Coturnix japonica: one gene and its partner. The protein of the gene in region 1 purifies or fractionates together with the protein of each later gene. This does not show direct contact. Links are inferred from orthologs where the notes say so. Each region holds a gene or a part of one and is shown on either strand. Other genes may lie near its edges. The genes, in order: FLII and LRRFIP2.

What was found.
Region 2: the proteins of FLII (region 1) and LRRFIP2 purify together in Homo sapiens (affinity purification with mass spectrometry; 3 studies listed by BioGRID and IntAct, with this or other methods). This does not show direct contact. The link is inferred for Coturnix japonica from reciprocal best matches to the Homo sapiens genes FLII and LRRFIP2.

Annotation. Positions count from the first base shown.
Region 1 is NC_029529.1:5,097,348-5,101,761, reverse strand, and holds the start of FLII (protein flightless-1 homolog), read left to right. Parts: upstream 1-1,356; 5' UTR 1,357-1,397; coding exon 1,398-1,460; intron 1,461-1,958; coding exon 1,959-2,069; intron 2,070-2,594; coding exon 2,595-2,666; intron 2,667-2,786; coding exon 2,787-2,867; intron 2,868-3,083; coding exon 3,084-3,169; intron 3,170-3,302; coding exon 3,303-3,464; intron 3,465-3,546; coding exon 3,547-3,650; intron 3,651-3,727; coding exon 3,728-3,903; intron 3,904-4,009; coding exon 4,010-4,167; intron 4,168-4,300; coding exon 4,301-4,385; intron 4,386-4,414. Other genes in the region: MIEF2 (mitochondrial dynamics protein MID49), read right to left, coding at 1-168, 643-789. UniProt on the Homo sapiens protein: Is a regulator of actin polymerization, required for proper myofibril organization and regulation of the length of sarcomeric thin filaments. It also plays a role in the assembly of cardiomyocyte cell adhesion complexes.
Region 2 is NC_029517.1:77,548,460-77,552,706, reverse strand, and holds the start of LRRFIP2 (leucine-rich repeat flightless-interacting protein 2), read left to right. Parts: upstream 1-1,439; 5' UTR 1,440-1,552; intron 1,553-1,917; coding exon of another isoform or gene 1,918-2,205; exon of another isoform or gene 2,206-2,232; intron 2,233-2,325; exon of another isoform or gene 2,326-2,496; intron 2,497-4,247. UniProt on the Homo sapiens protein: May function as activator of the canonical Wnt signaling pathway, in association with DVL3, upstream of CTNNB1/beta-catenin.

The DNA of each region.
Region 1 (4,414 bases):
TGGTGGAGCCGGGGAGAGCAGGGGTTTGCTCAGGTCTTCCCTTCTCTGCTTCTTGGGAGGTTTTGGTGTTGCCTTGATCAGAGCCAGGTCCTGCCAGCTCTCCTCCAGGCTCTTCTGCTCAGCTTTAGGATCATCTTCCTCTCGAGGGCTCGTGGCTCGATCTATCAGCTGGTGGGAGAGACACATGGAGGGGATGTGTGTGTGGTCCACAAAACCCTCACCTCACCCAGAGAACAAGCAGTGGGGGCTCCCCCATCCCAACTGCACTGAGAGCTACAGGCCCCAAATAGCCTTGTTCACATACGGGGATGCTCTACCTGCTGCTGCTCATGCAAACACAGAGAGATGCTACAGATGGCAGAGGGGGAGGAGACCCGAGATCAGCAGCCCCCTTTACAGAAGGCTGCTATTGCTGGGAGAGCAAAGAGACCCAGGGAGGATCCACAGGGAAAACCTGCACAGACACGTTGTTCAATCAGCAGCACATCCCACCCCAAAGCAGGGAGGGGACGGCACAGACAGGGTAACAGTCACACACAGCTCTTCTATGGCTCTGGGAGTCTCATAGATGCACGCAGGTTCCCGAAGACAACGAGGCACGTCTCTGGGACGCAAAGTGGCACATCACCCCCCCAGCCTCACCCGTTTGACGGCCAACGTGGCGATGGCGAGCACGGCCGCGCCGCTGACGCCCAGCACCAGCCTGGCGTTGGCCAGCAGCAGGTCCAGGACGCTGCCCAGCCCGCTGTCATCCCGCCGCTTGCCCCGCTGCTGCGAGAACTCAGCCATGGTCACCTGCGGGAAGGAGGAGGAAGGTGCGGTGCGATCTGACAGCGGGGAGCCGGCTCCGTAATGACACCCGGCGTGTAACGGCCATGGGGGGAAGGCGGGGAGCCCGGCGGGACGCGAGCTGCGGGGCAGCCGCCACCACGGCCGACCTTCAGGCCCACGGATCCCGCTGCTGCCGGCTGCGGTGGTGGCGCCGGGCCGGACCAAGGGTCACCCCATAAAGATCCGGCCGCCAACAGATGGGGACGGGACGAGGGGGCTGCAATGGCACCACGGAAGGGGCCGGCACAAAATCAGCCCCCTTCACCGAGCTGCCAAGGGCAAACAAAGGTAGGACAGCCAACCCCACTGACTGACGGTACTACCCGCGGTTATTTCCTTCTCCGAACCCCAACTCCGAGCCCATCTCACCCCCCACCCCATAGCCCCCCCCCACTTACCCCGCAGCTCCCAGCGGGGCGGACCAGCAGCCCGTGCTGGCGCGCCGGCGCGCCCGCAATTCGCAGCGCAGCCAATGAACGCAGCGCTCCTTGGCCCCGCCTCCAATCAGCGTCAGGGCGGGGCGGGGTGTTGGGGCGGTGGCGCGTCCCGCCGGGTTCCCCGCTGTCATGGCGGCCACCGGGGTGCTGCCCTTCGTCCGCGGCGTCGACCTGAGCGGTAACGACTTCAAGGTGCGGGGGCGGCACCTGCTGTAGGGGCGGTACCGGGTGTAGGGCGGTACCCGGTATGGGGCGGTACCCGGTGTGGGGCCGGGCGGGGTGGGGGGAGAGCCGGCGGAAGTGCCATGGATGGGAGGGACTGTCAGGCCTGTCCGCTCCCCGCCAGGCCCGGCCATCCCCGAGGTCCCCGCTTAGGGCCGGTCAGTCCCGGCCCTTGTTGTGACCCTGGCAGGCCCTGCTGTGTGAGCGGGGCTTTGGAAGGCCGGGAGGTGTCAGCCCACAGTCCTCATCCTGTAGGGCTGGGTGACCTCAGTCTGCAGATCCCAGTCCCATAAGGCTCCCGTCCTTAAATCCCATCCTTAAATCTCGTTCTCATGGGGCTGGGTGATCCCAGTCCCCAGCTCCATAATACTGGGTGATCTGTCCCTCAGCAGCCCCACAGCACCAGCCCTGTCTCTCCATTGTCACCCCACGGGTCATACAGTTTCTCTTACCTTCATGCCCACACAGGGTGGCTACTTCCCAGAGCATGTGAAGGCCATGACCAGCCTGCGCTGGCTGAAGCTGAACCACACAGGGCTCTGCTACCTGCCCGAGGAGCTGGCTGCCCTGCAGAAGCTGGTGAGCAAACAGGGGATGGGGCACTTGGGGGGGCTGCGCAGCCAAGAACCTGCTGCCTGCCTGCCTCGTGTGCCAGCGTCTAATAATAGGGGCTGAGTGAGGAAGTGTGGTTGAAATTGGATGCAGGAGTTGTTAGGAAAGGGGCTGAGGCTGATGTGTACTGGGTTTCACCTTGTTTTCTTAGAAAACCAGACCAGAAACCACACTCTCTTCCTCTGCCTGTTAATAGAAGGGAAGGGTGAAAGTTTATGGGGAGAATTAAAGGTTTGGGCTCTCTTAGCAAAAGCGAAAAAAGAAAAACAAGCAGCAGCCAGCAGCTGCCTGGAATTATTCCCTGGCAGCTCGAGTTCTGTGCGTAGCTGTTGGTGGAGCCCATGGCTGAGCTTTGCTCTGGTGGTTCCTACAGCATATTATGGACATGCTGGAGCCCCCCAGCCAGTTTGGGACCCCAACAGCCCAATATGGGTCAGGGCTGAGCTCTGCTCCCCTCACTACTCACTGGGGCTTTGTCCTGATTCCCCACAGGAGCACCTGTCCGTCAGCCACAACAGCCTTACCACGCTTCATGGCGAGCTGTCCAGCCTGCCCTGCCTCCGGGTGAGTGTCCCGTTGTGCATCCCATGCAGTGGGGATGGTGGGCTCTGGTCCTCCTGAGGGGCTCAGCAGTTGCTGGAGCCGGGTGGTGGCTGCAGTCATTCCTCTCTGTCCACTTTGAAGGCAATTGTGGCACGTGCAAACAGCCTGAAGAACTCAGGAGTCCCCGATGACATCTTCCAGCTGGAGGATCTTTCAGTGCTGGTAAGTGCAGACTCTCCATGCTGCCCTTTCCCACAGTAAGAGCTCCAGCCTGGACTCCTGGTCACGCTCCTTTGTGCTCTTCAAGGAAGCACGTGGGACTGAAGAGCATCTGGAACGTGGTCCCAAAGATGCCCCATGATCCTTGGGGGTGGGCGGTAGTTGTGTTATGGGGGACTCATCCCAGGACTGAGGATGATTCCTGCTTTCATCCCCCAGGACCTGAGCCGCAACCATCTGACTGAGTGTCCCCGGGAGCTGGAGAATGCCAAGAACATGTTGGTGCTCAACCTGGGCCACAACAGGTGGGGATCCTGGCAGCACAGCTCCCCCTGACCGTGACCACCTCCACCCGTCACCTCCACTCCCCTCTTCACTCTGGGTCCCCCTCTTTGGGTTGGATCCAGGGCCACCCTGAAGGTCCCCATGTCCCCGCAGTATCGAGACCATCCCTAATCAGCTTTTCATCAACCTCACGGACCTGCTTTACCTTGACCTGAGCAACAACAAGCTGGAGAGCCTCCCTCCACAGATGAGACGCCTGGTGCACCTCCAGACCCTCATCCTCAATGACAACCCCCTGCTGCACGCACAGCTCCGGTACGGCTCCATTTTGTGTCTGGTTCCCAAGATAGTGGAGCCACGCAGGGCCATGCCCTGATGCTGTCTCTGTGACACACAGGCAGCTCCCAGCAATGACAGCCCTGCAGACCCTGCACCTCCGGAACACACAACGCACGCAGAACAACCTGCCCACCAGCCTGGAGAGCCTGGTCAACCTGGCAGGTAGGGCTGTGTTGGGGTGTTGCATCGGGGCTGTCCTGGTGTGTGTCCTGGTGGCCTCAGCCCCATTTGTTCCCCAGATGTGGACCTGTCCTGCAATGACCTCAGCCGTGTTCCCGAGTGCCTCTACACGCTGGGCAGCCTGCGGCGCCTCAACCTCAGCAGCAACAAGATCACTGAGCTGTCCCTGTGCATCGACCAGTGGACACAGCTGGAGACCCTCAACCTGTCCCGCAATGAGCTCACCTCCCTGCCTGTGCGTGTTGTCCCCATCCCTCCGTCATGTCCCCACTCCTCCATTGTGTCCCTTCCCTGGCTGCAGTGCCAGCCCTCACCCCACCACCTTCCCCTTCCTTCCCCAGTCTGCCATCTGCAAGCTGACCAAGCTGAAGAAGATGTACCTTAACTCCAACAAGCTCGACTTCGATGGGATCCCCTCGGGCATTGGCAAGCTCTCCAACCTGGAGGAGTTCATGGCGGCCAACAACAACCTGGAGCTCATCCCTGAGAGCTTGTGCAGGTAGGGGGCAGCCCCCGGCCAGATTTGAGCTGTCCCCAAGAGGGGACACGTGGAGGTGGGAGATGATGGGGTGGAGGGTCCTGAAGAATGCAACCCTGGCACAGCCCTGTCTCAGCATCCCCCCACCCCGCAGGTGCTCCAAGCTGCGGAAGCTGGTGCTGAACAAGAACCGCCTGGTGACGCTGCCAGAGGCCATTCACTTCCTGACAGATGTGGAGGTGAGAGCCCAGCACTGTGTGTACCCCTG
Region 2 (4,247 bases), on another chromosome or scaffold:
TCTAGGAAATCTTAAATATCTATGCAGAGCACTGCAGGAACTTGAGGCGTTCTATCCAACAGACCTACAAATTGATCCCAGATTCATTCATACTCTTTCTCAGGTGATGATCTTTCACTGAATGCCTCAACAGAGCAAAACAGTTTTAGAGCTTTTTAGAGAAAAGGGGGAGTAAATCAGCAGGTTAAGTAACATATGAAAAGTGATCCATAGTAATCTACCATATAAAAAGATAAAATGCCTTCAAAGGGAATTCCAGTGCTACTTCATTTATTTCAGTTGAAACATGCTATTAATGGAACATGCTCTATAGCACCTTCAATAATGTTTTGTTCAGGGTAGCTTCATAAATCAATATCTCTTTTGTAACTGCAGCCATTCCATAGCAAAAGTTCAATGTAATATTTTTTTGCCTCTAATTAAAGGTTTATAATGAAAAAATGTATGTAACCTGACTGTTTAACTCCTCATTAATGATGCTGAACTCAGAATTGCTACTGTGACATCTTGTACCACTGCCTGTAGTAACTGCTCTGTGTATACACTGCTCTGTGCACTGCTTTTCAGTAAACAATTGCTCTTTCAACCCACAAAAACGCATGTCTGCTCTCAAGGAGACACGCTTTTTGCTGCATCATTACAGAAAAATGTGCTGCCTGTGATAGCGAAAGACCAAACACATGCAAATCCTAATACTGCATCAGAAAAAAAAATAAAAAAATAAAAAAACCAAACAACTGAAAACATGTTTTCTCTTTACATAGCAGTATGTTGACAGAGAATAATCTCCCACAGACTAGGAGCGTAGCATCTGTCAGAAGATTCCACACAAACCCTCCCATTCAAGACAGCACAAAAAATACTTCTCCCTGCAGCTCAATCAAAACCACCTGAGACATTTCCAGTGAAGGCTCTCCATAAAGCCCAGACAATCAGCACATAAATCCTTCTGTGAGAATTAAAAACTACATCCTTATGTGGGGTTAAGTCAGTACTGTTTTCTTGCCTTTCCTACTGATATTCCAAGAAAAACTCCCTCTGCAGCAGCACTTCCTCTCTACTTCATCTCCCTGCGGTGAGATCATCATCTATTACTAAAGAAATTAACATGATGTTAAAAATAAGCATGGAATGGCCATGCTTGCACGAAGAGGGAGACAGACACTGTAACAGTTCTCTAGTTGTAAGTCCCTAAATACGAAGAAACCCCAGGAGGTTGCTTTATGTCTGATGTAATAGATGTAACTTGCCTGGACTTCCTTTCTTTATACTCATCCACTTGAGCTTATTTTAGTGTAACATTTGAACTCTGCCAAGGGCTCTTGGGAACGTTCCTGAGCATTACTGCTAGGCTCGTCAACCCTGCAGTGCCTTTTTATTATCAAGTGTCTTCTAACACGAAATACCATCTCCGCCAGAGCTCAAACCATCTCTGCAATTACCCTGCATTAGTGACGGAGGAGCTGGAAAGGCAGATGACTGCAAGTCTGATCCTGCGGCTGTTTCAAGGTGGATCCTCATCAAGCCTCTGACGAACATCAGTCAACTCCTGGTGAGCAAACTGTGATATATTTAATGGCACACTCCTTTCTTTTCTACCTCCTATATCGCTAAGATTGTTGTACACTTAACAGCGTGCATTTCCAATGGCACTTGGGGTGGTGTGAGATAAGGTGTAGTGCTTACACGGGTACCTGACTGCTGCCTGTGCCGTTCTCCCACACAGCGCGGTGCCGTGCCGTGCTACACCGGGACGAACGGCAGAGCCGGCGGGGCGCAGCCAGCAGGACCCCGCGGGGCAGAACCCAGCTGCTCGCTGCCGAGGCCTCCACGTGTTGTCCCCTAAGGAACGCGACAACAACACAAACAGCAGTTAGAACCCTGAGGCGAACGGAGCATGAAACACCGCGGACCTACCTCTCCCTGCCCTGGGGTGACCCAGCCTGCCCGGCGGTAGCGGACACATCCCGTCAGCAGGCTCAGGGACCTCAACCGCCCCTCTGCCGCGCATGCGCGGTCTGCGCAGAGGCCGGCCCCGTCTCCTCCTGCTCTCCCTCCCTGCCCGCCTTCCTCCTTTTCGCCGCGCGGTCTGAGCGCGACCGCCGCTTCCTGCCAGTCTTGCGCTGCGGTGGCGACCGCTCGGCGTCGAAGGGGAAGAGACGGCAGCGTAGGGCGGGGAGAGGAAAAGAGGAGGACGGCCCTCATTCGCGCGACCGCTCCTGCCCCGCTCCGGTTATTGCGGTTCCTGGGGCGGAGAAGGGCCGAGGGCGCAGGGTGAGGCGAGAGCGCGGCTGCCCGGCCCAGGCCGCCGGCCCGTCCCCGCCCGCCGGCCCCCGCGCTCGCCCTGGAGCGGCTTCGGCCTCCGTTTCTCCGCCGCCGGCACGGAGCTTGAGGCGGAACCGATTCCCCGCGGCTCGCGTGGGAGGCGGGGAGGGCACAACGAGCACTCCCGGGCCCCGTCCGGGCGTTCCGGTGCCGCCGTGCGCTGGCCCGCAGGTGAGGATCGGGCGGGTGGGAGGCCGCGGGGCAGCGAGCGGGGTGCGGCTCAGCCGGGCCCCGTCAGGTGGGCGGCGGGAAGGGGAACAATGCCGGCGGGTCCCGCAGCTGTGCTCCTTGCCGACGGGAAGGGAGGCGCGGCGGGGAGGGGAAAGAGAGTGGGAAAGGAGGCTGCTCCGAATCACGGCCGTTGCTGTGTCCGTGCCTTTCTCTCCCGCACTTCCTCGAAGCGCAGCGCTGTCTCTCCGCCGCTTGTCAGGGCGTGTCCCGCCGCAGGGAGGGCCGGGCAGGGCCGGGTGCTGCCAGGCCGCCGGGCGGCTGCCGGGCCGGGCTCGCTCCCGCGAGTCGCAGCGCGCCGAGGCGGCTCTCCGTGCCGTGTTCTCAACTGCGGGCAAAGCGTGCTGATAAGAGATGGGGACATTCCTGAAGCTGGAAGGAGCACTGCAGGCGATTCTTGGCAGTGGTTCGCTGAGTGCGTTGTAGGTGATTTCCAACTTGCTCATTTTAGAGAGACATCTGTCTGTCTGCAGCTTGAAATTGTAGCAGTAATGTAGTGTTGTTTTCATTCCATTAAAGTGTCAAAGTTAGCACTGAAAGGCTTTGGGGCATTTATTTACTTGCACAGATTTCCTGTAAGATTAAAAAAAATACTTCTTTTTACACATTCATTCTGTTGTGACTTTGAAGTGTTTAGTTGGGGCCCAGAAACAGGTATCTTCTTAATACAGATCTGCTTCCTTGCCTACTGTAATTACTTAGTGGTGATGTAAGAACAGATGAAAGGTGCTCTGGCAGTACAGCTCAGCTGGATGTAGGTGACGTGCTTTTCTCATGGCTTTGTGTTATTTACGTTTGGAGATGTTTACCTTAGGGTGTGAAGTTGTGTTATCTGAACAGAATTCCTGGCTCTCACAGAGACCTCGTGCATGTAAGGCAGCTGTGTGAAATGTCAGGTGTGAGACTGTTCACTTAGACATCAGCACGGACCCCAAAGAAGCTCCTTTGCTTTATAGCTCTCACTATGCAGGAGATGACATAGTGTTTTAACACACAGAGTCCGGTTTAACCAGCACTGTCTAAAATTTAACCTGTAGCACATGTTTAAGGTTTTAAATAGAAAATAAACTGGAGCTTTATGTAGTATGGAAGTTGTTGTATGTGCATACCATTTTTATTTGTTTTTGGCATCTAGATAGATATGTTACTGAGTACAGCCAGTATATAACAGTAGCGAGAAATTGATGTGTTGTTGTCTTTATTTGAATAATAATGATATAAATTGTGATAGAGGTCAGTACAGTGCGCTCTGCACTTTTCCTTTAATGTATATTAGAGATGCTTTCTGAGTAAGTAATGCAGATTTATTACCCTGAGTAACTGGGTATGAGTTAGCAAGTATATGTATGCAGCGGACAACTTGTTTCTATGTAAAGTTGCTTCTTTGTAATCTCTGTTATGTATCAGTCAAAAAACAGTGCATGTAAATAGTGCTGTTGGAAGTTTATAGATCTGTGTTAGGCATATAGAGCTGGAGCTGCTGCCATGGCAAAGGTGAAGGTGCACCTCTCCAGGGCCTGACAGCCCCACGGGGCTTTAGAGGGTACCCTGGAAGGTTTGCACTGTTGCTTCAGTAGCTTTCCCTGCAATGGAGAGTAACTGTAGCAATAGTAGCAAAGAGTAGGAGTGTTCTAAATATTAAGTTGTTAATGGAGAAATATCTTCAGTAGTTGCAGCTCGTTACTTGACGTGGG